7 linked regions of the Rattus norvegicus genome follow. The protein of the gene in region 1 interacts with the protein of each later gene in a pairwise test. Links are inferred from orthologs where the notes say so. Each region holds a gene or a part of one and is shown in the gene's direction. Other genes may lie near its edges. The genes, in order: Ap2b1, Cltc, Itsn1, Nup54, Neu4, Ap1m1 and Ap1m2.

What was found.
Region 2: the proteins of Ap2b1 (region 1) and Cltc interact in a two-hybrid assay, tested with the Homo sapiens proteins (2 studies listed by BioGRID, with this or other methods). The link is inferred for Rattus norvegicus from reciprocal best matches to the Homo sapiens genes AP2B1 and CLTC.
Region 3: the proteins of Ap2b1 (region 1) and Itsn1 interact in binary tests that used the Homo sapiens proteins (3 or more experiments, as listed by UniProt). The link is inferred for Rattus norvegicus from reciprocal best matches to the Homo sapiens genes AP2B1 and ITSN1.
Region 4: the proteins of Ap2b1 (region 1) and Nup54 interact in binary tests that used the Homo sapiens proteins (3 or more experiments, as listed by UniProt). The two-hybrid records come from large-scale screens. The link is inferred for Rattus norvegicus from reciprocal best matches to the Homo sapiens genes AP2B1 and NUP54.
Region 5: the proteins of Ap2b1 (region 1) and Neu4 interact in binary tests that used the Homo sapiens proteins (3 or more experiments, as listed by UniProt). The two-hybrid records come from large-scale screens. The link is inferred for Rattus norvegicus from reciprocal best matches to the Homo sapiens genes AP2B1 and NEU4.
Region 6: the proteins of Ap2b1 (region 1) and Ap1m1 interact in binary tests that used the Homo sapiens proteins (3 or more experiments, as listed by UniProt). The link is inferred for Rattus norvegicus from reciprocal best matches to the Homo sapiens genes AP2B1 and AP1M1.
Region 7: the proteins of Ap2b1 (region 1) and Ap1m2 interact in binary tests that used the Homo sapiens proteins (3 or more experiments, as listed by UniProt). The two-hybrid records come from large-scale screens. The link is inferred for Rattus norvegicus from reciprocal best matches to the Homo sapiens genes AP2B1 and AP1M2.

What each region holds. Positions count from the first base shown.
Region 1 is NC_086028.1:68,694,392-68,698,372, forward strand, and holds part of Ap2b1 (AP-2 complex subunit beta), read left to right. Parts: intron 1-1,482; coding exon 1,483-1,637; intron 1,638-3,981. UniProt on the Homo sapiens protein: Component of the adaptor protein complex 2 (AP-2). Adaptor protein complexes function in protein transport via transport vesicles in different membrane traffic pathways.
Region 2 is NC_086028.1:72,029,048-72,033,028, reverse strand, and holds part of Cltc (clathrin heavy chain 1), read left to right. Parts: intron 1-564; coding exon 565-707; intron 708-971; coding exon 972-1,206; intron 1,207-3,305; coding exon 3,306-3,428; intron 3,429-3,981. UniProt on the Homo sapiens protein: Clathrin is the major protein of the polyhedral coat of coated pits and vesicles. Two different adapter protein complexes link the clathrin lattice either to the plasma membrane or to the trans-Golgi network.
Region 3 is NC_086029.1:44,628,353-44,632,333, forward strand, and holds part of Itsn1 (intersectin-1), read left to right. Parts: intron 1-1,793; coding exon 1,794-1,961; intron 1,962-3,981. UniProt on the Homo sapiens protein: Adapter protein that provides a link between the endocytic membrane traffic and the actin assembly machinery. Acts as a guanine nucleotide exchange factor (GEF) for CDC42, and thereby stimulates actin nucleation mediated by WASL and the ARP2/3 complex.
Region 4 is NC_086032.1:15,900,451-15,904,975, forward strand, and holds the start of Nup54 (nuclear pore complex protein Nup54), read left to right. Parts: upstream 1-1,583; 5' UTR 1,584-1,649; coding exon 1,650-1,716; intron 1,717-2,311; coding exon of another isoform or gene 2,312-2,473; intron 2,474-4,525. UniProt on the Homo sapiens protein: Component of the nuclear pore complex, a complex required for the trafficking across the nuclear membrane.
Region 5 is NC_086027.1:101,847,207-101,850,844, forward strand, and holds the end of Neu4 (sialidase-4), read left to right. Parts: intron 1-795; coding exon 796-1,775; 3' UTR 1,776-2,711; downstream 2,712-3,638. UniProt on the Homo sapiens protein: Exo-alpha-sialidase that catalyzes the hydrolytic cleavage of the terminal sialic acid (N-acetylneuraminic acid, Neu5Ac) of a glycan moiety in the catabolism of glycolipids, glycoproteins and oligosacharides.
Region 6 is NC_086034.1:17,629,763-17,633,743, reverse strand, and holds part of Ap1m1 (AP-1 complex subunit mu-1), read left to right. Parts: intron 1-2,372; coding exon 2,373-2,529; intron 2,530-3,981. UniProt on the Homo sapiens protein: Subunit of clathrin-associated adaptor protein complex 1 that plays a role in protein sorting in the trans-Golgi network (TGN) and endosomes.
Region 7 is NC_086026.1:28,115,208-28,119,188, reverse strand, and holds part of Ap1m2 (AP-1 complex subunit mu-2), read left to right. Parts: intron 1-421; coding exon 422-580; intron 581-1,760; coding exon 1,761-1,886; intron 1,887-3,422; coding exon 3,423-3,498; intron 3,499-3,981. UniProt on the Homo sapiens protein: Subunit of clathrin-associated adaptor protein complex 1 that plays a role in protein sorting in the trans-Golgi network (TGN) and endosomes.

The sequences.
Region 1 (3,981 bases):
CTGCCCCTGCCCCTGCCCCTGCCCCTGCCCCTGCCCCTGCCCCTGCCCCTGCCCCTGCCCCTGCCCCTGCCCCTGCCCCTGCCCCTGCCCTGCCCCTGCCCGCTGAGTACTGGGATTAAAGATACTAACACACCTAGTATATCATCTCCATTCTTTTTTTCTTTTTTCTTTTTTCCTTTTTTTCGGAGCTGGGGACCGAACCCAGAGCCTTGCGCTTGCTAGGCAAGCGTCATCTCCATTCTTAAAAAGTTTATCTGTCTCTGACACTGCACCATCTCAGGTAGAGAAATGACTGTTAATTCATTCTAAAGCTTCATGTCTCTTCAATGCTGTAGTCACAAGAACAGCAGCCTGATCCTCCCCTAAGCTGGGGAGTGCAGCAGCATCACTCACATGGCAGCTGGGATTTGAGGACATAGCAGCAGTCATTTCACACAGCTTTGGGCCTCTGTGTCTTTCATTAAAGCACTTTGTTTCCTTGTATGTTTGAAAATATCGTTTTCTCTAGCATCTAAAGAATTCGTTTGCCTGCTTTAAAAAGAAATTAAATATCCAGTTTAATAAATCTGACTTGAAAAGACTTGTGCAGCTCTGTCCTTTTCTAAAGCTGTGAAACTGAGGCCCACATGGCTCACAGTGCAGTAGTAGTGACCTGGGAAGTGTACATCTGATCCTCAGTATAGCTCTCCTGGTTGGGGAGCAGTATCCCAGAAATGGACATCAACACTAGAGTCGGTATGGAGATTCCACACACCCATACACCCATCTCTCTATTCCCATCAGAGTATTTGTACCTGTCTACCATTGTGATGCTTACTATTGTCAGTTTGATAAAGTCTAGAACCTAGAAGGCAGGGCTCTAACACACCTGTGAGGCTATCTAAACTAGATTAACCTCTGGGTGTCCCTGTGTGGGATTTCCTGGATTCATTCCTTGAAGTGGGAAGACCCACCTTAACTCTGAGTGGCTTCCTGCCTTGAGGTGGAGTCCTGACCTGAAGGTACAAGGCGAAACACGTTAACACTAGCATTTGTCTTGGGCTGACTAGATGCAGTGTTGAACAGCTGCCCCTCACTCCTGCTGCTGTGACTCCCACCATGATGGGCTGTACCCTGGGACCGTGAGCCAAAATAACCCTCCCTTACATCCCTTTGGCCAGAGAACGATGTTAAAGCAGTGGGGAAAGTAATTAACACGAGAACTTAGTTTGTTCTTAGTAAACCCTGAGGCTTAACTTATCTGTTATATAACCTCCCCAGGTAGCTCTTAAACCAGTGTTAGTTCACCTTACTGTTTTCTGTCTGATAACACAACAGGCAGGCCCTTCATTTTGCCTCTCTGTATCAGAAGAACCTCTGGACATCTGTGTATGCTAGAATTCATCAGGGAACTCAAGGATATGTGCCAGCTTACAAGAATGGCAGAGAAGGGAATGTGTTCACTGGAGACTTAAACTGAAAGTCTTGGATCTCTATTTCTAGACACAGTTTCCAGCAAGTTGCAAAACAACAATGTTTACACTATCGCCAAGAGGAATGTGGAGGGGCAGGACATGCTGTACCAGTCCCTGAAGCTCACTAATGGCATTTGGATTTTGGCAGAGCTGCGGATCCAGCCAGGAAACCCCAATTATACGGTAAGGCCTTTGCCAGAGTGTGTGAGAGGGGTTAGAGTACAGAGGTAAGAACCTGTACATTTATTCCGTAGTGTGCTGCAGAGACCTGAGGAAGTACTTCCCACCTGAGAAACCCCAAAACAAGCATGCACTCTGTCAGGGAGTCCAAGTCGCATTCATGAAGTGCCTCCTCTTCTCACTGTGGTCTTCTGACTTATTAGGCATGGTGCTGGGGCAGACCAGGGTAGACCTTCTGCCTCTGACTGTAAGGAGTTCTGCAAACCCATCACTTCTCTGACACCTAGAGATACCTCCTGCTCGGCATCAGTGTGGTGCGAGAATAGGCCGTTAGAGGAATGTCTCTAGCTGGGCACCAGGTCACACCTGCAATTCTAGAAAAAGAAAGGTGGATCGCTATAAATGTGAAGCTAGCCAGGACTTCTTCGTGAGACCCTGCCTTAAAAAAAGCCAAAAACAAACAAACAAACAAAACCCCTGTGTTCTGAGGCTGGAGAGAGATGGTAAGGGTGCTTGCTGAACAGCCAGCCTTACCAGTTCAGTGAGAGAGCCGTCCCAACATGTTGGGATAGAAAGGATAGAGCAGAGGGCCCAGTGCACTCCACAAAAAAACAAAACAAAAGCCATCTCCTAGCTTGCTTACATTGGACCTTGTCTACTTTCAGAGTTCTTGGCCTTAGGATGTCTAGACCTAGATTTGAACATGTAACTAATTAGTCATTCTTAACCATGGTTTCCTTAACAGGGAGAGAAGTCTCCAGCCTATAGGTTTCTCCTGTAGCTTAAGAAACCTCCTCCAGGGGGTTGGGAATTTAGCTCAGTGGTAGAGCACTTGCCTAGCAAGCGCAAGGCCCTGGGTTTGGTCCCCAGCTCCGAAAAAAAAGAAAAAGAAAAAGAAGAAAGAAAGAAACCTCCTCTAGAATACCATTGAGCAGAAGTAAAAGTTACTGGATGGCTTTGCCCAGGAGAAACTACCACTTTGCTCGGCAGTGAACACTGGTCCTCGAGGCCCTAAGCTCTGGTGCTGATATAAAGTGTGATCTCCCAAGAAGCCTTGAGATGAGGAAATACCTTACTCTCATGTTAGACTGTTTAGAAAGAATTGGCAGGGGAAGAAGATTCAATAATGACTAGTTCTGAGGAATGTCCTAGACCAAGGGATTGTGGTTAAAAAGATTGAGAGAGGCCAGTGGGATGGCACAGTAGACAAAGTTACCAAGCCTGATAAACTGATAAAGGAGAGAATGCCCCCTCCAACTGTCCTCTAACCACCACAAGTACTGTGGCACATACACAAATAAATGAAATAAATGCAATTTCTTTTTTTTTTTTAAAGGATGATGAATGAGACTAGACCCTAGTGACAGATCTGTGATTCCAACTATGTGGGAGGCTTAGGCAGAAAGATCGAAAGTTTAAGGCCAGAGTAGGCAACTCAGAGATTCAGTCTCAAAGAAAAACTAAAACTTGGGCTGGGGAATGTCACTCAATGGCAGAACTCCTGTCAGCTAGGCCACACCACAGGTTCAACCCCTAGTATTAAAAGTGGGGAAAAATGATTAATGACATTGTTCAAACTCATGTAGAATTTGGGGGGAGGGGAGGTTAATAGGCAAGTGATATTTAAGGTTCAGATGTTGTTGATGGGTCCTGATGCACATTGTTTGAGATGGACTGTTCATTCTCTTAGATAAACTATACAAATATTTTATTTTGGAAGTACTCACAAGACTTTTAGTGGGACTTTTCTTTTAACCCAGTTTTTCATAATGTTAATGTCTTACACATCTACTTTCAAGACTAGAAAATAACTAATGTAGCTGTGGACATGAATGAGACTGTACATTACATACTCTCTTAGGGAGGGGCAGAATGACCTGTTTTTCTGTGTGCGAGGGATCATTTATGGCTTGGTTTGGGGTGGTTTTTTTGGTTTTGTTTTTTGTTTTGCTGGAGTCGGGTGTTTGTTTGTTTGTTTGTTTGTTTGTTTGTTTGTTTGTTTTTGAGGCAGGGTTTTACCAGGTAGCCCATGGCCTGGAATTCATTATATAATCCAGGCTGGTCTCAAACTCAGATTGAGCTGCCTCTGCCTCCTAGGTGTTGGAATGTGGACCCAGCCCTGGCAAGCACTCATTGGTTCTCCACGACGATTATATCATTTTGAGAATGTTACAGAAAATAAGTCATCACATAGTCTCTTTCTCACGTGTCTGTGTGAGATGTGCGTATATGTTCATATGTATGTGTGCTCACTGTGTCTTAGTTGATGTTCTATTACTGTGAGGAGACACTGTGACCACAGCAAATCTTAAAGAGACACCTCAACCCCTGCCCAGCCCCCCGTGGC
Region 2 (3,981 bases), about 3.3 Mb from region 1:
TTTTGAATTCTTCTCAAAATTTTGTGCCTGGTAAGAATGGCCTGCTAGAGTACTTTCCATGTTTTCCCAGCTCAGTCTTTTCTTTGATTAAAATTTAACATCCATGCTAGAATATTAAGTGCGAGAACTACTGTAGTCTAAAGGGTTGCAAAGTTGAGGAATCGAAGCCCAGAGCACATGTCTTAAGTTAGGTATTAGAACCTTTTATCAACTTCAAGATACTCTCGTAAGGCAGTGCTGCCGGTGTTGAGACTTTTTACTTAGTAATCGTCACAGTCATCTCTGCTGTTGTTATTGTATACTTCAACATTTGGAGCAGTTCTTAGGAGGAACTGATCAACCAAAGCAACATGAGAGACTAGGGTGAGCGCTTGCCTGCCTGTTAGTAGACTATGAGGTCTTTCTAGGTAGACTTTTCCTTCATCTAACCATAATTTTGGATTCATAGTTTACTACTAATTTTAAAAACAGGGCTTTAACAGAAGAAATGGTCTTTATGTTTTTGCCTCAGTTTTGCTTATTCATGTAACGGTGTTCTTTTTATTTTCTCTTTTTCCAACATAGGTAAATCCAAGTCGACTTCCTGTGGTTATTGGAGGATTGCTGGATGTTGACTGCTCTGAAGATGTCATTAAAAATTTGATTCTTGTTGTGAGAGGTCAATTCTCTACTGATGAGCTTGTTGCTGAAGTTGAGAAAAGAAACAGGTGTGGTACTGTTTCCTCTCCTATAGCACATAAGTTTGTGGCTTCTGATAGTGCAGGAAGAGTTGAAGTACAGCTGACTGACTGCGGCCACTCAACACATGGGGTAAATTTATGGAGGCAGCTAACAGAAGGGTGACACGCTCGCTTTTAGAGTTGAAAGGTTTTTGTTAGTGTATTTTCCTGAAATGTGACTATATCTCTATAGTTATGAGAAGATTGTGCTGTTTTTAACACAGTCTGTCTGGGTTCTGTTGTTTTTACTAGATTGAAGCTGCTTCTTCCTTGGCTTGAGGCTAGAATTCATGAGGGCTGTGAGGAGCCTGCTACACACAATGCGTTAGCCAAAATATACATCGACAGCAATAACAACCCAGAGAGATTCCTTCGTGAAAACCCCTACTATGACAGTCGTGTCGTGGGAAAGTACTGTGAGAAGAGAGACCCACATCTGGCCTGTGTTGCTTATGAACGTGGCCAGTGTGATCTGGAACTAATCAACGTAAGTACTGCTTGCTGAGTGGGACAGAGACGTCTGTATTTCTTTTAACTAGTTGTTTGAGTTTCTATACGGTTTTTAGTTAATACAGAACAGTTTTGGACAGATGGGTGCTATTTTAAAACTGTGTTTGGAGATAGTAGTAAACGCAAGTCTGTACACTCACTCTCTGCTGATTTGGCCTGTATCAGCTCTGCTTGTGTTCTTGTACACGCTCAAGCGTACCTTAACATAGCATTTCAGCCACAGTACATTCCTCACGGGTTTGTATCCATCGGGTTCTACTTTCTAGGAATGAAGACGTATCTTTATATAGATACCAGCAACAGTCAGTCAGAGGGTAACAAGAAACTCTGAAAGGTTTGGTTTCAGTGTTGTCAGGGTTTTCTGTAGTTTACCATCACCATTGTGTCCACTCTTCAGCCTCTTTATTCTAAATCAGTCCTTGGAAACTTGTTTGTTTTTAAATGATAGATACGTTTGCTAAAACTCATTTTGAAATTTGTATTTAGTTAGGTTTTTTGTTGTTGTTGCTGTGAAATAAGTGCATAATCAAATTTTCCATTGTAAAGTGAACATCTCAGTGGCTTTTAGTGAGTTGAGTGTTGCAAATCAACACTCTTTCCCACTTTCCAGGCTCTCAGCACTGAGAAAGGAGAGCTTCTTTTTAGTAAATCTTCATGTACTCCCTTCTCATAGAACCTCACAGCTGCCAAACCACACCCAACTCCTGTGGATTTCCCTGTTCTGTATTTTTTTTTTTAATTAAAGTATTTATTACTTGTGCACAAGTATGTAGAAGTCAGAACAACTAGTGGGAATCTTTTATCTCCTCAATGTATGTGGGTCTCATGAACCACTCTGGTCATCAGCCTTGGTGGCAAGCTACCTATTAAGCCATATTGCTGACCCCTGTACATTTCATATAAATGTATGGCCTCTGGTTCTTCCTCCTGCAGTGCTGAATGCCTGGCCGCAGAAAAACATTTCTGAGTTTCCCTGAATCATTTCTTTGCTTTGCAGCTAAAATCAAGTATTTCAATAATGGTTCTCTATAATTAGATTTTTAGATCATACATCTCTACTTGGAATACTGCTTAAATAATGTTTGCTCTGTGCTGCCATTTTCTTTCTTTATGTTGCCAGTCTCCACTGAATTGTCCACTTCCCATTCGGGAGTACTTTGGTAAAGAAATGAGCACACTCACCCACAGGTCCTTTCTCCTTGTCCCTGCTTACTAGGCCTTTGTAACCTAAGACATTGTTACTAGGTTGATGACTACTGTAGCCCTTTCTCCTGTTTACCAGTTACAGGTTAGAGTTACTGGGCCTGCATGAATGAGGCCCTGATTACAATCACAGCACTGAAAAAAAGTTCTGTCATATTTATTCGTCAGTATTCTCGGATTTATGGACTCCTGTTGTACTCTGAATTACAGTCCATTACTGTAATTTCTGTTAGCATTCACATTGTTGCCTGGTTGTTGATGAACTTCAAGGTTCATTGTGCAACTTTCCCAGATTAGAGTTGCCCATTTTTCCAGGCAGCCCCTACCCTTTTTAATGAAAGATGCCGTTAGTAACTGAGTTCTGCCCTGAAGATTGCTTCTAGCGTTGTTCTGTGGTCAGATCTTAGAAACTTATCTGTGTTTGTATGTGCTTTCAAAGATGATACATATTTATATGCAGGTGTATGGAAAAGTGTTCAGTATCTAATGAAACACTGGAAGAAAGTTTTGAAGGCAACCAGACCTGTATTAGAGTGTAATACAAAGCTATGATTTAAAGTTAATACAATACTAGTGCTTGAACATCAAAAATAAGCTAAATATGCGAGTGTGTGTCTGTAATTCTAGCATGTGAGAAGTAGAGGAGGATAAAGAAATTTGAAGCTCAAGCAAAGAAGAAAACCAGGTGCTATACTAGGAGTCTTCTAAAAAGCTCCTAAAATTTCTTTTTTCTTTTCATTGTTGAATTCTAATGGGAATATTTGACTGTGATATTCCCTAGATTTTTTTTTTTAAAGAGTTGACATGATTGCAAATAACTGTCAGACTCGTTTTCTGTAATTGCGCTGAAATTAACCTGGCTGTTTTAATTAGGTTTGCAATGAGAATTCCCTCTTCAAAAGTCTTTCTCGCTACCTGGTCCGTCGAAAGGATCCAGAGTTGTGGGGTAGTGTGCTACTGGAAAGCAATCCATACAGAAGACCATTAATTGACCAGGTAAATGTGACAAAAATGTTTCACTTCTTTCTGACCTGGAATACTTTCCTCTCATTACATATCCAAATATATTCAAATGGGTCATATTTAACTATAACAGAAGACACAAAAAGTAAAAAAAACATTAAAATTGTACTATATAAATGTAAAATTGTTTGTGTGTGTGTGTGTGTGTGTGTGTGTGTGTGTGTGTGTGTGTGTAAAATATTATAAGGAAAGTGAAATCTAAAACCATAAATTTATATTAAGTTCATCACCATTAAAGAAAGGGAATAAATTAGGATTGACTCCAAATCGTTAGCTGATACATGACTGAAATTAAGACATTGAAAGCAGTAAGTCAGCACACAAAGAGGATTGATAATTCAAAAACCAAAAATCCAAGTAATGTTTGGGTCTAACAGCTTAAAGTCCCTAGTACTTAGGAGTTTGAGAGAGAAAGAAAGAGTATGAGTTTGAGTTAATTAACATCATCCTGTGAGTGTAGCAAGATTCTATCTCCAATTCTTTTCTAAATTCCAAGTATCATGAAGATTATTGGTAAGTGTGACCC
Region 3 (3,981 bases), on another chromosome or scaffold:
GGAACCCAGAGCTCGTTACCACGGCACACATGTGACAGTCAGAGAACAATTTTAATTTCGGGAGTCCGTTCTCTCCTTCCACCGTGGGTTCCAGAGGGTGAACTCAGTTCTCATGGTGGCACGGCCCATGCTTTTACCCAGCAACTCAGCCATCTCCCTGGCCCCAAACCTAGAGTCATAGCAATCAATATAAAAGAAAAATGTAGTCCAGGACACCTACTCAGTAAGGAAAGCAATTACATGGGCATGGTAGCTGTGAAAACTGTTTTATTTCCCTCGTTGCATGCCCCATCCTGGAAGGATGGCCAGTCCCGCAAACCGCCTGGTAAGGCTGTGCTGTTACATTTAGCTGGGGCAGCTCTGCTCAGGTTAAAAACAACAGAACACTCAGAAAAACATATTCGGGGACTGGGGAGGTGACCTGGCCAGTGAAGTGCATGGGACGTCAGTGTCCGTGTAGAAAGCAGGACGTGGGGGCTGGGGATTTAGCTCAGTGGTAGAGCGCTTACCTAGGAAGCGCAAGGCCCTGGGTTCGGTCCCCAGCTCCGAAAAAAAGAACCAAAAAAAAAAAGGAAAAGAAAAAGAAAAAGAAAGCAGGATGTGGCAGGGTGTGTTCTAGCCCTGGGAGGCAGAGATGGAGGAATTCTAGCTAGCTTCACCTCATTGGTGAGCCCTGGATGCCATCAAAACACTCTGCCTCATAAACAAGGAAGATGGCTCCTGAAAGACGACAGCCGAGGATGTCCTCCAGCCTCCACTCAGGCACACACGCATATACATATGTGTACTCTGTCTTAGGGTTTTACTGCTGTGAACAGACACCAAGACCAATGCAACTCTCATGAGGACATTTAATTGGGGCTGGCTTACAGGTTCAGGAGTTCAGTCCAGTGTCATCAAGGCAGGAACATGGCAGCATCCAGGCAGGCCTGGTGCAGGAGGAGCTGAGAGATCTACATCTTCCTCTGAAGGCTGCTAGTGGAAGACTGACTTCCAGGCAGTGAGGACTAGGGTATTTTAGCCCACACCCACTGTGACACACCTACCTCAACAAGGCCATACCTCCTCATAGTGCCACTCCCTGGGCCAAGCATGTACAAACCAGCACATGTCCCCACACATACACAAAGCACACATATTTGCCCAGGGGAACCTCCTAGTTGATTTCCAGGATGCACAGGTGCCTGTGGCCCTGTACATTCCCTAGGGCACGCGAACACACGGGGTATGGCACCTATCCCACTCCACCCTGGGGTGCCCTGCCTTCTCCTAAACCCTCACTCCAGAGTTAACGGGGTACTGTTCAGTTCCAACACCAGGATTCCCCTGGGTAAGTGAGCCGGGGAAGAGCAGTCGCTGGCTGCCTGCAGGAATGCCTGGCCAGTCCCCTGGTCTCTGGCTGAGTTGCTTGTTCAGTGAAACAGGGTGGAGATTTTGGAGGAGAAGCTGAGCCCCTTCTGCTGCACTGTTCTGCAGCATCCCCAGGTCTGGGATGTTTGTGTGGGTGGTTTAGTGTCCATGCTGGGAGCCAGCATTCTGCAGGACAGGTTACGGAGTTTGTGCTGGGACATTCAGAGGGCTGGGGTTGGGCTGAGGGCCCAAGGGCAGGGCCACTCATTGCAAGCAACAAGTATAGCCCTCACTGAGCCCGAGGCTGCTCCAGTGGCCAGGGCACCCTGTGCCATGGCTATGGTGGGCACCATGCAGGAAAACACTGTGACTTCCATGACCGTGGGTCCAGGTCCATCAACACCGAGAAAAGAGTCCTGACAAAGGTCTTGTCTTCTGTACAGATCCTGGAAAACACTCCTGAAAACCACCCCGACCACAGCCACCTGAAGCACGCCCTGGAGAAAGCAGAAGAGCTGTGCTCCCAAGTGAACGAGGGAGTTCGAGAGAAGGAGAACTCTGACCGGCTGGAGTGGATCCAGGCGCATGTGCAGTGCGAAGGCCTTTCTGAGGTAGCCACCTACCGGGCGGGCGGGCGGGCGGGGCCTGGACCACTCCTGGTTGAACACTGGCAGCCGGTACAGAAGGGATGAGGCAAATCTCTCCCTTTCCTCTCCAGCTAGAACGTATTCTCCTAGCAGCGTGTCTCCTCAGCTCATTAATTATATTAATATCATATAATTTCAATGATATTATTTCCCGCTGCCAAAAAATTATTTTTTCAAACGTCCTGGTTTCTTTTGTGTGTCCTGTTCAAATGTTCATGCTTCTTCCTTCTCTTCTTCTTTTCCTCCTCTTCTTCCTCCTTCTCTTCCTTCTCCTTCTCCTCCTCCTTCTTTCCTTCCTCCTTCTCTTCCTCTTCCTTTTCTTCCTCCTCTTCCTCCTCTTTCTCTTCCTCCTCTTCTTCCTTCTCCTTCTCCTCCTTCTTTTCTTCCTCCTCTTCTTCTTCCTCCTCTTCCTCTTCCTTTTCTTCCTCCTCTTCTTCCTCCTTCTCTTCTTCCTCCTCCTCCTCCTCCTCCTCCTCCTCCTCCTCCTCCTCCTCCTCCTCCTCCTCCTCCTCCTCCTCCTCCTTCTTTTCTTCCTCCTCCTCTACTTCTAACGCACTTTAAACATATTCGCATGTATTCTAACATCGGACAGTCCCAGTACCCGCGGTCGTGGATCCTACTCTTCTGTCTGTTGTTTCTGCTAGCGTTCACACCCTCACCCCTTAGTTTTCTCTGTGTAGAGTGGTCTCCTTTTCTGCAGTAGCCACCAAACCTCTTGCATGTCGGTTGAGCGCTATTCTTCCGAGCCACACCCTCAGCTCCTGGAATATGATTTTTTTTTGTCTCCTCTAGTGTCTTTTGAACGTCCCCCTGTGTGTGTCTTCACTGTTTGAACTTGCATTTTCCCTGAGCAGATTGCTCCCCGGGCCATCCCAAGTTTTATTTAGAGGGAGTTTGAGGGTCACATCGCACGAGCGAATCCCAGCTGTGGTCCTGTGTGAGAGCGGCCTGGTGGGCACAGGGCCCAGGGGGCGCATTCTCGTCCACATAACATAGCTGAAGTCAGCAAAGTGTCCTTGCTTTTCTTTTTCTTCTTTTTTTTTTTCCTTTTCTTTTTTTTTCGGAGCTGGGGACCGAACCCAGGGCCTTGCGCTTGCTTGGCAAGCGCTCTACCGCTGAGCTAAATCCCCAACCCCCTTGCTTTTCTTTCTGGAGAGTCGCCCTGCTGAGTTCATCACCTCAGCCTGGGGTCCCTCTGTCTTTACTCTGCCACACAGTGTGGGGCTCAGTGTCAACAGGTCCAAAGGGCACCGGCTGACGCTGCCTTTGGTGGTTGATCCAGTAACTTCATTTTCATTATGGTTTGAGAATGGGCACATTCTTTTTTTAGTTTATTTTAACCAGCTTGAATTTTAAAAGTGTTTCATATTTTGCTCCTTTTTTTAAAGTTTGTGTTGGTGGATTCTCTGGGCTTCTGACCCACACAGGAGTCTTCGTTGGTATTTTCCTCTTCCTGTCTCTCAGCCTCCACTCTCACTCTTTCTGCCTGTGTTTCCCCTGACCCGAGCACAGAGGTGTACGGATACATCCGTGAACACACAGGCTCGCATGCATGTGTATATACGATTGCTAGAGTTTTCCAAAAACCCCAGGCATAATGTGTTTCTCTCCCCTTTCTTCCCTGTGGTTCCCCCCCTCTTCTAAATTCCAAGAGCACTTCCTGCATGGAGACTGCCTGTGCCCTCCCCTCCCCAGCCCCACCTCCTACCCTCTGCAGTGAGGGTGTGCACAAGCAAAGCTATGAGCAGCCCCTGCGGAAGCTGAGGTGGCAGCTGTGGCTTCTCTGTTTGGAACCAGGCACAACCTTTACTTGACTGGCTCATTCATTCACACACGATCATTTGTTATCTGCTCATGTGTCATTGTTCAACACCGAACCCCAAGTACATTTTAAAGAGAAATAGCGATTGGGACCCCACCTCCCCCTCCACACACACACTCAGGGTCTAGAGAGATGGCTCAGCAGTTGAGAGCACTGGCTGCT
Region 4 (4,525 bases), on another chromosome or scaffold:
GCTTGCTGTGCAGGTTTGAGGATATGAGTTTAATCGTCATCCATATTTAAAATCAAACAAACACTGGGCACATGGCATTCACCTGTAACCATTAACACTGGGCAGGCAGAATCAGGAGTCCCCTGGGGCTTGCTGGCTGGCTAGTCTTGCCAAATTGATGAGCTCTAGATTTAGTGAGAGACCTTGTATTGAAAAATAAGAGTAAACTAGGAGGGCACCCATGTCAATCTCTGGCCTCCAGGCCCATGTGCACATACATGCATGTGTGCCCTCTCATGTGCCCGCGCTCTCTCTCTCTCTCTCTCTCTCTCTCTCTCTCACACACACACACACACACACACACACACACACACACACACACAAGCACAAAGGATCCTGAGAAAACTAACACCATATCTACCACATGACCCAGCTAGGTCTATAAGGACTCCAAGTTAGCCTATCACAGAGACAGATGTACATCAATGTCTACTGAAGCACCAGTCACCAACACCAGCAAACCTAGCTGCCTAGCAACAGAGGGATGGATCAGAAAAGGTGGTATATATACTCAAAAGAATTTTCAACCCTAAGAATCAAGTTATGTCATTTGCACAGAATGAATATGACTGGGGATAAGTGAATTAAGCCAGTCACAGAAGGAAAAAACTTTTCATTTATGACTCCTAGGTTTAATTAAATACATAAACTCATATATATGGCATGGTAAATGAAATAAAACTGCTAGGGAACTAATGGGAGGGAGGGGGAGAAGAAAGAAAATTTAGGAATGGGGATATATGTTCAAAATACAACATATACTTGTATCAAAATGTTCTAATGTAACACAGTGCCATGTACAATAAATATTTTTAAAATAATTTGGGCGAAGTAGAGAAAAACCTTGTGTGAAGGTAGACTCCAGGATGTACCAGCGAAATGACTTTGGGGATGGCTGCTTAGCAACTCTCTTGTCTGTCCAAATTAGTCAAGGACAGAATCTTCTCTGTGGGATTGAGTGTTAAATGTTCCCCAGAAGTGGGATACAGGGTACAGATTTTACCAGTGAGAGGGCTCCTTTGCTTCATTCGGTTCAGCCACCCCCTCGCCCCTTTCTCGTTCAATAAGAATAGTGGTAAACTGAAACACAGCTGGGGATTAAGAGAATTATGCAAAAACGATTACTAGAGTGCATGCCACATAGTTAACACACGTGTTACCACCACTGCCATTATCTTTCCATCACTCTTGAATGCCTCTTTCCCAACTGCTTCATCTACTCAAACCTCATTTCCTCCGGGAAGGACCGCTCCTCAGTGGTAAGGGCAGCAGCACCTTCACGCGGTCTCCGCACCCTGTCACTTCTCTAAAGTGGCATCAGAGAGCCGGCAGACAACACCCCACGTCCAACTTGCCCTCATCTCCCCTTTCCTGTGACGTCCCACACCACGTGAAGCCACAACACACCCCCGGAAATGATCGGGTGGAGGCGTTCCCGTTCTACCCTCCACCCACTCCATCATCGCTTGGTTCCTCCCTCCTCCGCTTAGGCCAGGAAGGAGGCGGAACTAAAGGTACGGGCCCGACGTTTCCCAGCCGGAGGAAAGAGCGGAGAGCACTGGGCGTCGCGCCACCGGAGCCGGGGACCACTTAAGTGCTGCTCCCGCGACATGGCATTCAATTTTGGGGCTCCTTCGGGCACTTCGGGCACCTCTACAGCCACCGCGGCACCGGCGGGTGAGTCAGCCCTGGTCCTACCTTCTTCCTCCAAGGAACCGAAGCCTAGGGCCCGCCCCCTCGATCCGATCGGTCCGGCTGGGGGTCCCGGGGTTGCCCGGGCACTCCCGACACCTTGGGGACATTTGGAAAGGGCGGGCGGCGACGGCGGTGGTGGGTGGGTCTCAGGCTGCTCAGGCTCGGCCTGGGGATCACATGGCACGCTTATCCCGCGTGGCCCGGCCGCCGCGTTGCTTCCCGCCATTGGGGTGTTCGCCCGAGAGAGGCCGGAGGCTACGCCCCTCTCCCTTCCCGGGACCCCGTGTCCCCTCGTCCGCCTCTCCTCCCTGCCCAGACGGGTAAGGCTGCCCGCAGTTCCCTCTGTCCCCTCCCCAACCCGGGGGGGGGGGGTGCTGGACCCCGGCCCCTGGTGTCCTTCACTCCTTCTGTCTGTCCCCACCTCGACTTTCTTCCCCTGATCCGGTGCAGGTCAGGTTTGCTCACTCTGTGAAGCCTCTTGCTGATTCTTGTAATTCTTATCTTGCTTTCTTTTCCTTTTCTCTTCCCCTCCTCTCACCTTTTCAATTTTTTGTTTCTCTGCCTCCACGACTATCAGGATTTGGTGGGCTTGAGACTGCCAACTCCACCGCCAGTGGGTTTAATTTTGGGGGTTTCGGATTAACCGCTAACCCTGCAGTGAACTTTAATATTGGGAATTTCGGTGTTTCTACCACCTCGGCGACTCCGTTCAATTTTGGTAACAGTCTGGCGAGTGCAGGTAGATACTGCGGGTCATGTGTGTAATGAGTATGGGGGCTGGAGTCCAAGAATGTTCCGTTGTTTCTAGAGTTTGGGGGAATAAATGGCACGTGTCTAATAAGGAAGATCGAATCAAGTATATTTCAAGTTTTGACTGCCTTAAAAGATGTGGTTTTTGGAAACACTTAGAATACTTCTTTGTTGGATTTGCATTTAATCATACAGAGTGCAGCTTCAAAATGATAACTTTGGGATGGAATGCATTTGGAACGGAATGCCTTTTGAATCATTAGCTCTAGCATAAGGTCAGCGTTTCCCCGGGATTCTTGGACTCCTGCAGTCATTTTTCATTTTTTATACATATTTCATCGGGATTTCATCTTATTGTCCTTGTGTTTCCAAGAGAAACAAGTCTTATACGAACAGCAGTGACCTGTCTTGTTTTTCTAACATCAACTCAACACATTCGAATGTAGTCCTCAAGATACATAATTGTAGAAAGAATTGTGGATTCTTTGCTGGATTTTTGGGAAATTCTCCATGGTAGTTTAATTTACCAGATGACATTGAGTTCAAAAAAGTAAGGTTGACATCTTTACATTCAAAAAGAAGATGATGAAGTTTTTTTTTATTTTAATCTGTGGGTTGTTTGATGATCACTAAATTTTTTCAGAACATAAATATAGTGGATGTGTATATCCCAATTTAAGTTAGGCTTATGTGAGCTCAACATATGACCCTTAGAAAAATCTTGATCCTCAGCTGCTCGTATATGAATTTATCGTCCATAGTTTATGTTCCGTTAAGCCACTCCTGCCCTTGCCAATTATATGCATTTGGTTAACATTACCTCTAAACTTACTTGGAAAGTCAGGTATTTTTGTCCATTCACTTGGTTTTGCATTGTTTATGTCACTTTATCCTTTCAGTTGGAAATAATGTGGAAAATACTTGGTAATTCCAAAGATAAAGTGACTCACTGAGAAATATTGGAAGTGTTACATATCACCACCCCGTGTTTACATTTCCTAGTTTGCTTAAAATTGGCACTGGGCAAAACAAACCTTATTTTGAAATTCATGTTTTCAGAATAAAGCAAACCATATAGCTTAACAGCAACAAATAAACTTGTTTGTATTTGCTTGATTTCATGTCCATTTGAAGTTGTCACTGTTATTTTTCAGTTGTACAAATATAAGTGTGTTTCCATTGTTTTCAAATAGGTTAATTAACTTAGCCTTCAGGAAAGAGCTTTAAAAATTACATTTTTGTATCCATACAGATCTAATATTACTAATAGAGTATTTTTTTTTTTTTGGTTCTTTTTTTTCGGAGCTGGGGACCAAACCCAGGGCCTTACGCTTCCTAGGCAAGCGCTCTACCACTGAGCTAAATCCCCAACCCCCTAATAGAGTATTTTTGATCACTTGAAACATGATAAGATAGTGACTAGCATTTTTATTGTGTAGCCAACTTGAATAACATAGTTATTCTAAAGCAGGAAGTTAAAAGGGCTCCAAAGGCAGTAGTTATTTTAGATGTTTCATAAATGTTTAGCTGGCAATATTCAGTAGAGTCTATAAGTTACATGTGTGCAATTGCCTATTCAATAATTTTTAAAATCTGAATTGTATTGTTTAAGAGTTCAAGAGTACAGGATAGTGATGGACCACTTGCCTGCCTCGAGTGTGCAAGGTCCTGGATTTAAAACAGCACCACATTGATTAAAACTAATTTAAATTCTTCTCTCTAGAATGGCATCTCAGGGAAAAAGTTGTATTCCTCCTGATTTAGTATCTCTCTTTACGGGATTGCAAGCATATAGTACCATACCCATCTTCATTGCAATCTTGAAGAGGCTCTCTTATTACAAGAAATAGATGAGGTTCAGGTTAGAATCTCAGAAAGCCTGGAGTGGAACTCAGCACTTCGGGTTCAGATGTGTGCTGTGAGAGTCTTTGATAGCATATCTGTACCCAGGTAACTGCTGCCGATACTTTGTTTTAAATTAGTTTGGCATGTCATTCTAGTCATATATTTTAGATACTCTGAGACCGATTGTTTATAGATT
Region 5 (3,638 bases), on another chromosome or scaffold:
GCCATGGAGGATGCTGCTTATTGGCTTGCTTTTCATGATTTCCTCAGCCTGCTTTCTTATGGAACCCAGGATCACCAGTCCAAAGATGGCACGACCCATCATGGGCTGGGCCCTCCCCCATTGATCAGTAGTTGAGAAAATGACTTATAGCTGGGTCTCTTGGTAGCATTTTCTCAACTGAGGCTCCTTCCTCTCTGATGACTCTAGTTTGTGTCAATTTGACACACCAAACCAGCCAGCACAAAAGCTCATCCAAAACCCTCATCCGGGCCCTCCTCCCTCCACGGCTGTTGGGCAGCACCTGCTTCAGACGTCGAGCTCCCCTGGTGATCAGCAAGCCTCTGCTGGCCAATGGCTGGGGAGTGGCTCAGTGGTAGATGACTCGTTTGGCTTGGTTTCCAGGCTTAGTATCACAAGACAAAAAGCAAAACACTTGACCAAGGGGCTGGAGAGGTCTCTCAGAGGTTAAGAGCTTGTATGATTTACAGCTCTCGCAGAGAAACGGAGTTCACTCTCCTGCCCTTGGATTGGGTAGGCTCATAATTACCTATAATTCCAGTTCCAGGATATCTGTCACCTCTAGCCTCTATGGGCACCTGCACTCCTGTGGATGCCTTCCATATGCACATGGTTACAATGAAGTCTTTTTAAAAACCAAGAAAATACTCGACCAAGCGGACCTTTAGGATTCTGAAGAGCGTCTCGACGACTCCTCTGGTTTGAGTGCATTTAGGGTCCGGTAAAGGGAGGCAGTCAGCGCTCCTAACCCAAGGGTCTGTTTCCTTCTCTCTGTAGACTGGGCCACCTTTGCCGTGGGTCCAGGCCATGGAGTCCAGCTGCGCTCGGGTCGCCTGCTTGTTCCTGCTTACACCTATCATGTGGACCGTCGGGAGTGTTTTGGCAGGATCTGCTGGACCAGTCCCCACTCCTTGGCTTTCTACAGTGATGACCATGGGATCTCCTGGCATTGCGGAGGCCTTGTGCCCAACCTACGCTCTGGAGAGTGCCAACTGGCTGCGGTGGATGGAGACTTTCTCTACTGTAATGCCCGGAGCCCTCTGGGTAACCGTGTGCAGGCACTGAGTGCTGATGAAGGCACTTCCTTCCTACCAGGGGAGCTGGTGCCTACGTTGGCTGAGACTGCTCGCGGCTGCCAGGGTAGCATTGTGGGCTTCCCGGCTCCACCTTCCATCGGTCCTCAGGATGACCGGTGGTTAGCGAGTCCTGGAAACACCCCACATTCCCCATGCTTCGATCTCAGAGTACGGGAGTCTTTGGCGGAAGGTGCTAGAGGTTTTGTTGAAGGTTGGGCGTCTAGGTTGCTTCTCTGCTACCCACAGTCCCGGGGCCCAGAGAATCATGGCCTAGAGCCTGGGCCAGATGGAGAAAAAACATCCTGGAGCCCGGAACTCCCTATGTCCTCTGCTTCCGTGCGTCAGAGCTCCACATGGTTGCTATATTCCCACCCAGCAGGGCGTAGAGCTCGGCTCCATATGGGAATCTACCTGAGCCGATCCCCCTTGGACCCTCACAGCTGGACAGAGCCCTGGATAATCTATGAAGGCCCCAGTGGCTACTCTGACCTTGCCTTCCTTGGGCCTGTGCCTGGGGCATCCCTGGCTTTTGCCTGCCTGTTTGAGAGCGGGACCAGGGCTTCCTATGAAGACATTTCTTTTTGCTTGTTCTCACTGGCTGATGTCCTGGAGAATGTACCCACTGGCTTAGAGATATCCAGTCTCAGGAATAAGCCTCAGGGGCATTGCTGGCCCTCTTGATGGCCTGGTCCTCTGGCAGGCACTTGGGGAGGAAGGGCAGATTATATAGAGGAGGTCAGGTCAGCCTGACCCTAGGACGAACAGAGCTCTGTCTCCTGACTGGCTGGTGGGGGTGACTCACCGGGCAGCCAGTTGCTTTCTGGGTGCCCGTGAGAAATAAAGGGGTTGTGCTGTGACTTTTCTTTCTGTATCAAAGCTCGGGTGCTGGTACTTTAGCTCACCGCTCTGATCACCACGCACATCTCCCACCGGCACCTTGCTCGGCTTTCACATCCCAAGGGTGCCCGGCAGGGGTGAGGGCAGAGGACCTCACCGTGCTGGGACAGTGGACATCACCACACCGCTTTCCACTACCCTCTGGGTGCCAACCTCAGCCAATTTGATATGTGCTGATGACCGAGGGCTGTTTACTTTCTGGATTTCCTGCAGGAGAAGCAGGTTGGGGAGCGAGCCTCCCCAGCCAGTGGGGACAGAGTTTGACTCGAGCAGCGATTACGTCTGAGGACCTGCTCCGTGGGTCCACTTCTTTACCCTTCTCTGGAGAGGGCTCTTGTTCTATCAGAGCTGTTCCCTCGGTTCTCTTTCTTTTTCCTTTTCAAGACAGGGTCTCGGGGGCTGGGGATTTAGCTCAGTGGTAGAGTGCTTACCTAGGAAGCGCAAGGCCCTGGGTTCGGTCCCCAGCTCCGGGAAAAAAAAAAAAAAAAGACAGGGTCTCTTTGTGTAGCCCTGGTTGTCCTGGAACTCACTCTGTAAATCAGGCTGGCCTTGAGCTCAAAGCTCCATCTGCCTCTGCTTCCCAAGTGCTGTGATTAAAGGCATGTGCTACCACCGCCTGGTGCCCTCTTGTATTTCTTATTAGAGTCCTAATTTCTGATTATAAAAACAATCTGTGGAGGCCTGGGGTGACGGCTTAATCAGTAAAGCATTTGCCATGGAGTCAGAGGAATCTGAGTTCTGTTTTTAGCATCGCATAAAAAGCCCAATTTGGTGGCATACTTGTAATCTCAGCATGGAGAGGCAGAGATAAATAAATCCCCCCAAGAGATCTCTGATCAGACAGCTTGGTCTAATTGGCACATTCCAGGTTTCAGTGAGAGACCCTGCCTCAAAGTATGGAGTTGATCTCTGACCTCTGAAAATATAGGATACACACCCATGCATGCACACTTCCTTACAAAATTAAAAACAAAACAAAACCCAGGTTTATGGTCATTTTAGAAAATTAGAAGATTTAGAAAGCCATACATTAAAAAAAAACCCGCAAGAAAAATCTTTACTGCTCTGGGTATTGTCCACAATAAACCACTGTGTTCCTTGACCAAGCCTTGGGCTGGGTACTGTTTTGAGGTGGGTCCCATTATCTCCAGGTAGTAGAGCTTTGTACCCACTAACTGGGGCTTAAAACCATCTAAGACCATCAGAAGCTACTGACTTACCTGCCTCAGCAGAGCATAGCATGAAGGTCAGGATCAGGTCTCCTCCCTGGGTTGCCTGAACTCCAGTGGCCCCTGAACTCCGAGGTCCTCAAGCTCTGGTGAGCCACTAAGGACTCTGTGGGAGAGTCCCTGTGACTGTGGCCCTGAAGGGTAGGGAAGGAGGAAGTGAATAGACTTAGGGCAGGGTCTTTCAGTCTGCCTTCACTGTTAGTAGCCATGTGCCATAGACTAGGTGAACTTTAATGGAAGGAGGTTGATATTGGTTCCCACTTCTTGGGGGTCATCGTTGAGTAGTTGTGTCTGCTGATGGTCTTCTTGATGGTAGATTGTGAGGTAGTTGAAGATATGACATGGTGAGATTTCTCTCTCTCTCTCTCTCTCTCTCTCTCTCTCTCTCTTTCTCTCTGTATGTGTGTGTGTGTATTCT
Region 6 (3,981 bases), on another chromosome or scaffold:
TCAGAAGGAAGCGTCCTCACTGCACTCTCCCAGCTAGAAGCAGCAGAGACCGTGCTTTCTGAGGAGCAAATGCAGCAGCAGGTGGTGCCAGTCTAGCGTGGCAGCTCAGGAGAACTGCAGCACTGCCACATGGCCAACCAGCCATGCTGACAGCAGGCAGCGTGACAAGACAGGCACTGTCACCAAGTAACCAGGACCTCCTCAACCCTCACCCACAGCTTCCTCATGGCCCCTTCCTGCAGCCATTTCCTCAGGGTAATTCCAAGGAGCAATTCCTGTTTGGTTCCTTTCACTATGCACAGTGACTCTGAGGGTAGAGCCTACCTGGGCGTCCTCATGTCCTGCAGCTCAGAGTCCCATGTCCTGCGTTCACATTCTTATCTGCCCTCAGCTGACCACGAATGGTTTTGTGTTTTTTTTTTGTTTTTTTTTTTTTTTTTTTACTAAGTGTGTGGGGAGGCGAGAGGGATACGGGTATGTGCGAACGTGTGCAGGCGTCCCTGGAGGCCAGAAGTAAACATCAGATCCCCTACAGCTAGAGTTACGAGCACTTGTGAGCTACCCAATGTGGAAGCTGGGAACTGAACCTGGGTCCTCTGAAAGAATAGCAGTGCATGGGGTTGGGGATTTAGCTCAGTGGTAGAGCATTTGCCTAGCAAGCCAAGGCCCTGGGTTCGGTCCCCAGCTCTGGAAAAAAAAGAATAGCAGTGCACTTAAGTAACGAGCCATTTCCCAACTCCTGGGATTTATTTATTTGCTTATTTGGTTTTATATACATACATAGTGTGTATCTGTATATGTATGCATATATGTGTGTGTGTGTGTGTGTGTGTGTATGCACATACACACACATAATTTTTATTTTATGGTTGTTAGTATTTGACTGCATGTGTGAGGGTGTCAGAAGCCCTGGAACTGGAGTCGTGGATAGGCGTGCACTTCTATGTGATTCTGGGGATTCTGCAAGAGCAGCCAGTGTTCTTCATTGCTAAGCCATCTCTCCACCTCCTGTTTGTTTTTTGAGACAGGTTTCTCTGTGTAGCCCTGGCTGTCCTGGAACTTGATCTGTAGACCAGGCTGGCCTCAAACTCAGGGATCCACCAGCCTCTGCCTCCTGGGTGCTGCGATTAAAGGCCTGCACTGTCATTCCCAGCAAACCTAGGATTTTTTAAAAAGACAGGGTCTCACTGTGTTCAGTCTGAAACTTACTATGTAAACTTCCTTACCTCTGCTTCCAAGTGCTAGGATTAGAGGTGTCATACCATGCTTGACAAAGTATTTTTAGCAGGGAAACAGTTTGCTATATAAGTGTGAAGAACTGAGTACAGATTCCTAGGACCCACATAATACCAGGAGGGTATGGCAGCCCGTGATCCCAGGAGCCTGCTGGCTAGCTAGATCATCTGAGGTGGCAGCACAAAGAGAGAGGGGTCGGGGAGAGGGAAAGGTGTTGCATTTGAACTGGGTTTGGTATCTCATGCCTATAACCTAACCACTCTGGAGGCAGAAGGACTGCCGTGAGTTTGAGGCTAGCCTGGGCTACATAGTGAAATCATCACGACAAAGCAAAAGCCTCAGGAATGTTTTTTGTCAGAGCAGGCTGTCCTTAGATACCACAGCACTGTATTGGAGGGCCCTCAGATTCTGGAATCCTGGGGTCCTGGAACAGCCAGATTCTCCATACATCTGTTGCAAGACAAGTCCTTTTGTCTCTGGTGTGGCTCTATTTAAGATTCAGCCACTGGGGTGTTCATTTATGTGGACTGGCTCATACCTGTCATCCCAGCACTCAGGAGGTAGCAGCAGGAGAAACAGGAATTCAAGGCTATCCTTGGCTACATAGTGGATTTGAGATGTGCCGAGGCTCCTTGAACCCACTCCCGGCTTCATTCTCCGTTGAGTGCCCATGGACACACAGCTTCTCTGATTCTCTAGGATGAGCCACTGGGTCATACTTAACTCTGGTGTCACTTTCTGAGGAGCCACCAACTTTGGCTATTTCACAGGATGATGGACAGTGGTTCAGACACCATGCAAGGAGGAAGACCAGGGCAGGGCTATTCCTGTACAGGCTTCAGTGGGATCCCATGAACTTGGACTCCTCTGGGATCAGGTGCTCAGGAGAGCCAAGTGTGCCAGCACAGCAAAGACACTGAGAGGGTCTGCATGGAGTGCTCATAGGGCAAGGCTTGGCCCAGTGTCTGAGGGGATCAGTCCCTCCTTTCTCCACCTTCTGCTGAAGGAAGAGCCTTGTGGTGGGACTTCATAGGGTGAAAATCAGACTAGCCTCAAGTTGTGTCCCTTCACAGATGGTCCCCACCCCTACCTCAGACCCTCAGAGGAAGCCACCCCTTCTTTCCTTCCTAATGCAGGTGCTCATCTGCAGGAACTACCGTGGGGATGTGGACATGTCAGAGGTGGAGCACTTCATGCCCATTCTGATGGAGAAGGAGGAGGAGGGCATGCTGTCACCTATCTTGGCCCATGGTGGCGTTCGTTTCATGTGGATTAAGCACAACAACCTGTACCGTATCCCTATGCTGTGGAGTCAGGCCTTGGGGATGACACGCCTGCCCACCAGCACAGAAGAGCTGGGCAGCCAGAGGACACAGGCCTCACACAGAGGACACAGGGAATGCTAAGTATTCCAGAAGCTGCAGCTGTGGGAGGAGGGGAGAGACACAGGGCAAGAGTGGGAGCCAACTGGGCCTGAAGTTGTCCTCTGGAGATGTGTCATGTTAAATGGGGTAGGTCTTTGGATGGGGTGGACTGGCTATAGGTGGCCTTGTGGTCTAGAGATTTCTGGCTGCTGTGTATGGCCACACTGTCAGGAGCAGGAGTGGACAAATGAGGGGAACAGGGTAGGAGTAGGGGTGGGAAGATCTCATGTGCCCTACATCCTCAGCCCTGCTTCAGCCTCAAATCAAGTGTGATGCCAGGTGGAGACCCACCGTGGCTGCACCCACCACTTTGGGCTTTGAGCAGACCTCTGGAGATCTGGCTGTGCAGGAGCTCTTCAGCTGCCAGTCCCCTCGTCAGTAAATGTGTGCATGCGTGTAACCCCTACAGGCACAGATGCCACCTCTTCCCAGGGACATGGTCTTCCCTTGCAGTTCCTGCCCTGCTCTCCCTCCCAGGCATAGGGTTTTTTCCCTGATGTATATTAGCATTTGTGAACTCCCTTGTAGAGTGGGCCTAAAGTCCAATAGAAAGGTGTTGGTGTCACCCATGATATCTGTGCCAGTAGTGCACATGTGGTGTTTGAGCACACTGGGTCCATAGCTGAGCAGGAGTGTTGATAACTGTTCATCAACAGCCCTCACAGCCCTTTCTGGCACTAGGAAAGCCAACCAGCAGGGTGGGAGTTTCCATTTGGTTCCAACTTAATTTCCCCATGTTCTGCAGTCCAAGTGCAGTGTCTTCAACAATAGGCTCTTACCATCCGGTTCTGCTGTACAACAGCAGCAGCGGCCTGCATGGCTCATGGAGCTTCAGGGTGTCCTGCAGCACCTCCCAGGAGATAGTCTGCCCATGGCACAGGGACTTCACCCAATAACCTGATGACCTCCGCGAGTGTCCTTCTCCATCCATGTAGGGTACCAGTTGGATTTAAACTCTTTACCTGTTTAAACAACATTTTGTTTTTTACTTTTTAAAGGCATCATTTGTAGACATATTTTACCTGCATGTTTGCAGGCCAGAAGAAGGCATTGGATCCCCTGGAACTAGAGTTAAAGCCAGTGATGAGCCACCATGTGGGTGCTGGGGATTGAACTTGGGTCTTCTGGAAGAGCAACCTATGCTCTTTACCACTGAGCCATCTCTGTAGCCCTCCACTTTTCCTTTCAATTATTCAAGCCTCAGCTGGGCTGTAAGGTAGGTAGAAGTGCCATTACACCTGGTCGTCTTCATGTTAGTGAAGTGACTGCTATCACTATTATCTCCATGGATGTCCACACATAACGCCTAGCTGGCTGAGAC
Region 7 (3,981 bases), on another chromosome or scaffold:
GTTGCTGGGATTTGAACTCAGGACCTCTGGAAGAGCAGTCAGTGTTTTTTTTTGTTTTGTTTTGTTTTTTTGTTTTTTTGTTTTTTTGTTTTTTTGTTTTGTTTTGTTTTTTTCTTTTTATTTTTTAGAACTGGGGACTGAACCCAGGGCCTTGTGCTTGCTAGGCAAGCGCTCTACCACTGAGCTAAATCCCCAACCTTCTGCCACCAGGCTTGATTCCCATTTTTTTTTTTTTTTTAATTTTCGTATTTTCAAAAAGGATCCCACTTAGTTGTCTAGGTGTCCTTGAACGCAGTCTCTCTAGTTCAGGTTGGCCTTGAACTTGAGATCCTCCTACTTCGACCTCCAGAGTAGCTGGGATCACAAACATCCACCTCTTGCTCAGAGTGAATTCTTTTTGCCTCCTGCTCTCTCCTGGCAGGCCAAGGGTCAGTTTAAGAAGCAGTCGGTGGCCAACGGCGTGGAAATCTCTGTGCCTGTACCTAGCGATGCAGATTCTCCACGCTTCAAGACCAGTGTGGGCAGTGCCAAGTATGTGCCTGAGAAGAATGTCGTCATTTGGAGCATCAAGTCTTTCCCTGTGAGTACTGGGAGAGGTGGGGCCCAGGGTGGGAGGATTTCGGTGGTGCTGGTGGGGCTTGCCTAGGCCACATGACAGAAGGAGAAGAACGTCCCAAGTACCTCATCTTAGAGGAGGATGCATGAGGATTACACGGATGCACATGGCTGTCCTTGAGAGCCGAGGAAGGGGAAACCCAGGCTATCTGGCTCCAGATTGGTACACTGTATGTGGTGGCCCATGTCTGTCTTTCTCCCATTTGGGAGGTGGAGGCAGGAGGATAAAGAATTCAGACTTACCCTTACCTTGATGACTACTTCTAATCTAACCTAGCTGCATAAGACCCTGCTTGAAAAATCCAAACCTGGGCTGGAGAGATGGCTCAGAGGTTAAGAGCACTGACTGTTCTTCCAGAGGTCCTGAGTTCAATTCCCAGCAACCACATGGTGGCTCACAACCATCCCTATTGAGATCCGATGCCCTCTTCTGGCCTGCAGGCATACATGCAGGCAGAAAGCTGTATGTTGTACACATAATAAATAAATATTTAAAAAAAGAAAAATCCAAACCAAACCAGTCAAAGGTGGGGAAACTGAGGCCTTGTGAAACAGCACCTCCCTTCCCCCACAAGTCCTTCAGGGATATGTATGGCCTTGGTGCCTAGTTTCTCTTTCATAAACTCAGCTCATCTGTAAAATGGGTTGGATGACATTTGACCCACATTATTTTTTGTTGGTGTTGGTTTTTAGACAGGGTGTCACTATGCAGTCATGGCTGGACTGGAACTTGCTATATAGACTGGGCTGGTCTTGAACTCATAGAAATCTACTTGCCTCAGCCTCCCAAGTACTGGGATTAAAGATTGTGTGTGTGTGTGTGTGTGTGTGTGTGTGTGTGTGTGTGTGTGTGTGACAAATATGACCCACGTTCTTGGAACACTAGTGGCTTTATTTTATAGTTACTCTGTGTGTGTATGTGTGTTTTTGTCTGTCTGTCTGTCTGTCTGTCTGTCTCTCTCCTCCAGACTGAGGAACAACAGTTAGCACCCTTCCCTTGCTTGTACTAGCACAGACTTTTCCTATGGGTCTCAGCCAGCACTCTTGTGTTTGGAGTCTGTGCAATGGACAGGTACAACTGCTGTGAGGGTTGTCTGAGATATGGAATGACTCTGAGAGAGTCTGATGCCTCTGTGTGTCCACAGGGGGGCAAGGAGTACTTGATGCGTGCCCATTTTGGCCTCCCCAGCGTGGAAACTGAGGAGGTAGAGGGCCGGCCACCCATCGGTGTCAAGTTTGAGATTCCATACTTTACTGTTTCCGGCATCCAGGTGAGGAACAAGGGTGGGGAGGTATCCTCCTTTCCTCCCTCCTGGCTTTAGTCACCTCCCAAGTCACGTCTCATTTATTCATTTCAGCATTTATTTATTTTGTGTATCAGTGTTTTGCATACGTCTGTGTACCACGTGGTTCCAGGTTTCCATCTGCTGTATGGATGCTGGTACTTTAATCCAGGTCCTCTGGAAGAGCAGCCAGAGCTCTTAACTGCTGAGCCATCTCTCCAGCCCTGTGTTAGGGTTTCTAAGGATTGCCGTGACAAGACACTGTAACCAAAAAGCAAGTTGGGAGGAAAGGATTTATTTAGCTCACACATCATTGGAGGAAGTCAGGACAGGAACTCAAAGCAGGCCAGGAACCTGGAGGCAGGAGCTGATGCAGAGTCCATGGAGAGGTGCTGCTTACTGCTTGTGTTTCATGGCTTGCGCAGGCTGCTTTCTTATATAACCCAGGACCAGCAGCCCACAGATGGCACCACCCACCACGGCCTGGGCCCTCCTTCATTGATCACTAATTGAGAAGATGCCTTACAGCTGGATCTCATGGAGGCATTTCCTCAACTGAGGCTCCTCCCTCTCCGATGACTAGCTTGTGTCAAGTTGACACACAAAATCAACCAGTCCAATCCCCCTTTTTAGTTGTGTTGTTTTTGAGACAGGAACTCACTGTAGCCAGGCTAACCAGGAACTTGCTGTGTAGACCAGACGGCATTGTGCCATAGAGACCTGTCCTGAGATCTGAGGTGTGCACCACCGCATCAGGCATTTTTTTTTTTTTTTTTTTTTTTTTTTTTTGTAATCCAAGCTAGCCAAGGACTTACTCTGAAGTCCAGACTAGACTCAACTCAATATCCAACCCAGACTGGACTTGAAGCTATGACATCCTTTTGTCTAGATTTCCAAGCAGTGGTATGAAGTCATGTGTCCCCATGCTCAGTTCTCTATTTCTTCTTTGTCGTTGGCCTGGGAATGCTGCCTCTTCTGTTCTCAGGCTGGCACTTTGCCCTCTCCCCACTCACATCTACATGTGCCACCGTCCCTGCCACTGCCCCTGCTTTCCCTGCTCTCAGAGAGAGTATCCTTTGTTTTCTTGACCTTCTCCCCAACCCTCTTCTGTATTCTCCAGTCTGCTCCTTCCCCTATGGGCCTGGATCACTTCTTCACCCATATTGAGCTCAGACTCCCAGTTAGCATCATCCTAAAGCATGCCCTATATATTTTCTTTTTTTTCGGAGCTGGGGACCAAACCCAGGGCCTTGCGCTTGCTAGGCAAGTGTTCTACCACTGAGCTAAATCCCCAACCCCTATCTTTTCTTGACATAAGCCACCACTTTTCCTTCTGACTCTGTTCAACTCATCCTCCCAATACCTTCCCCCACAAATACTGGAGATTGAACCCAGGGACTGACACATGCTAGGCAGGGGCTCTACCTCTGAGTCTACCCCAAGTACTCACAGGGGACTCTAGAAGGGAGTTTCCTGCTAAGACACATCCCTCTTCCTTGGCTGATCCTCTTTATGATCTTCCAGGTCCGTTACATGAAGATCATCGAGAAAAGCGGGTACCAGGCCCTGCCCTGGGTCCGCTACATCACCCAGAGTGGTGGTAAGGTGTTGGGGCTCTCTGGGACAGTGGGGGTGAGGAGGTAGGGGGTGTAGGGACTTTCATGCCGTGTTGGGGCAGTTCTAAATTGTAGCATGGCTAGCACCAAACCTGTCCTCACCATGCTTCCACATATTTAAAATGGAGTGGTCGGCCCGCTGCAGCAAAATGTTATACTTAGCACGTTCAGATGCTGCCTGGGTGCGGGCATGCTTACCAGGTGGAGGAGTCCGTGTGGCACCCATCCTGATCTAAGCAAAACTTTCTTTTGTGTATGTGAGAGTAAGGCTAGAAACCAGGGCTTTACGCACGGTTAAGTAGGAGCTCTAACATCCAGCCACATCTGGAATTCTAGGCAGTAGTTCTACTTTTGAGCCACGTCCCAAGCCTACAAGCCCTAGTAAGCATTGTGAAGTATTTCCAGGGGTGATTCTGTGTCGGGACCCAGGATAGATTTTTGTGGGTGTTGGAACTCTCTCCTCCTTT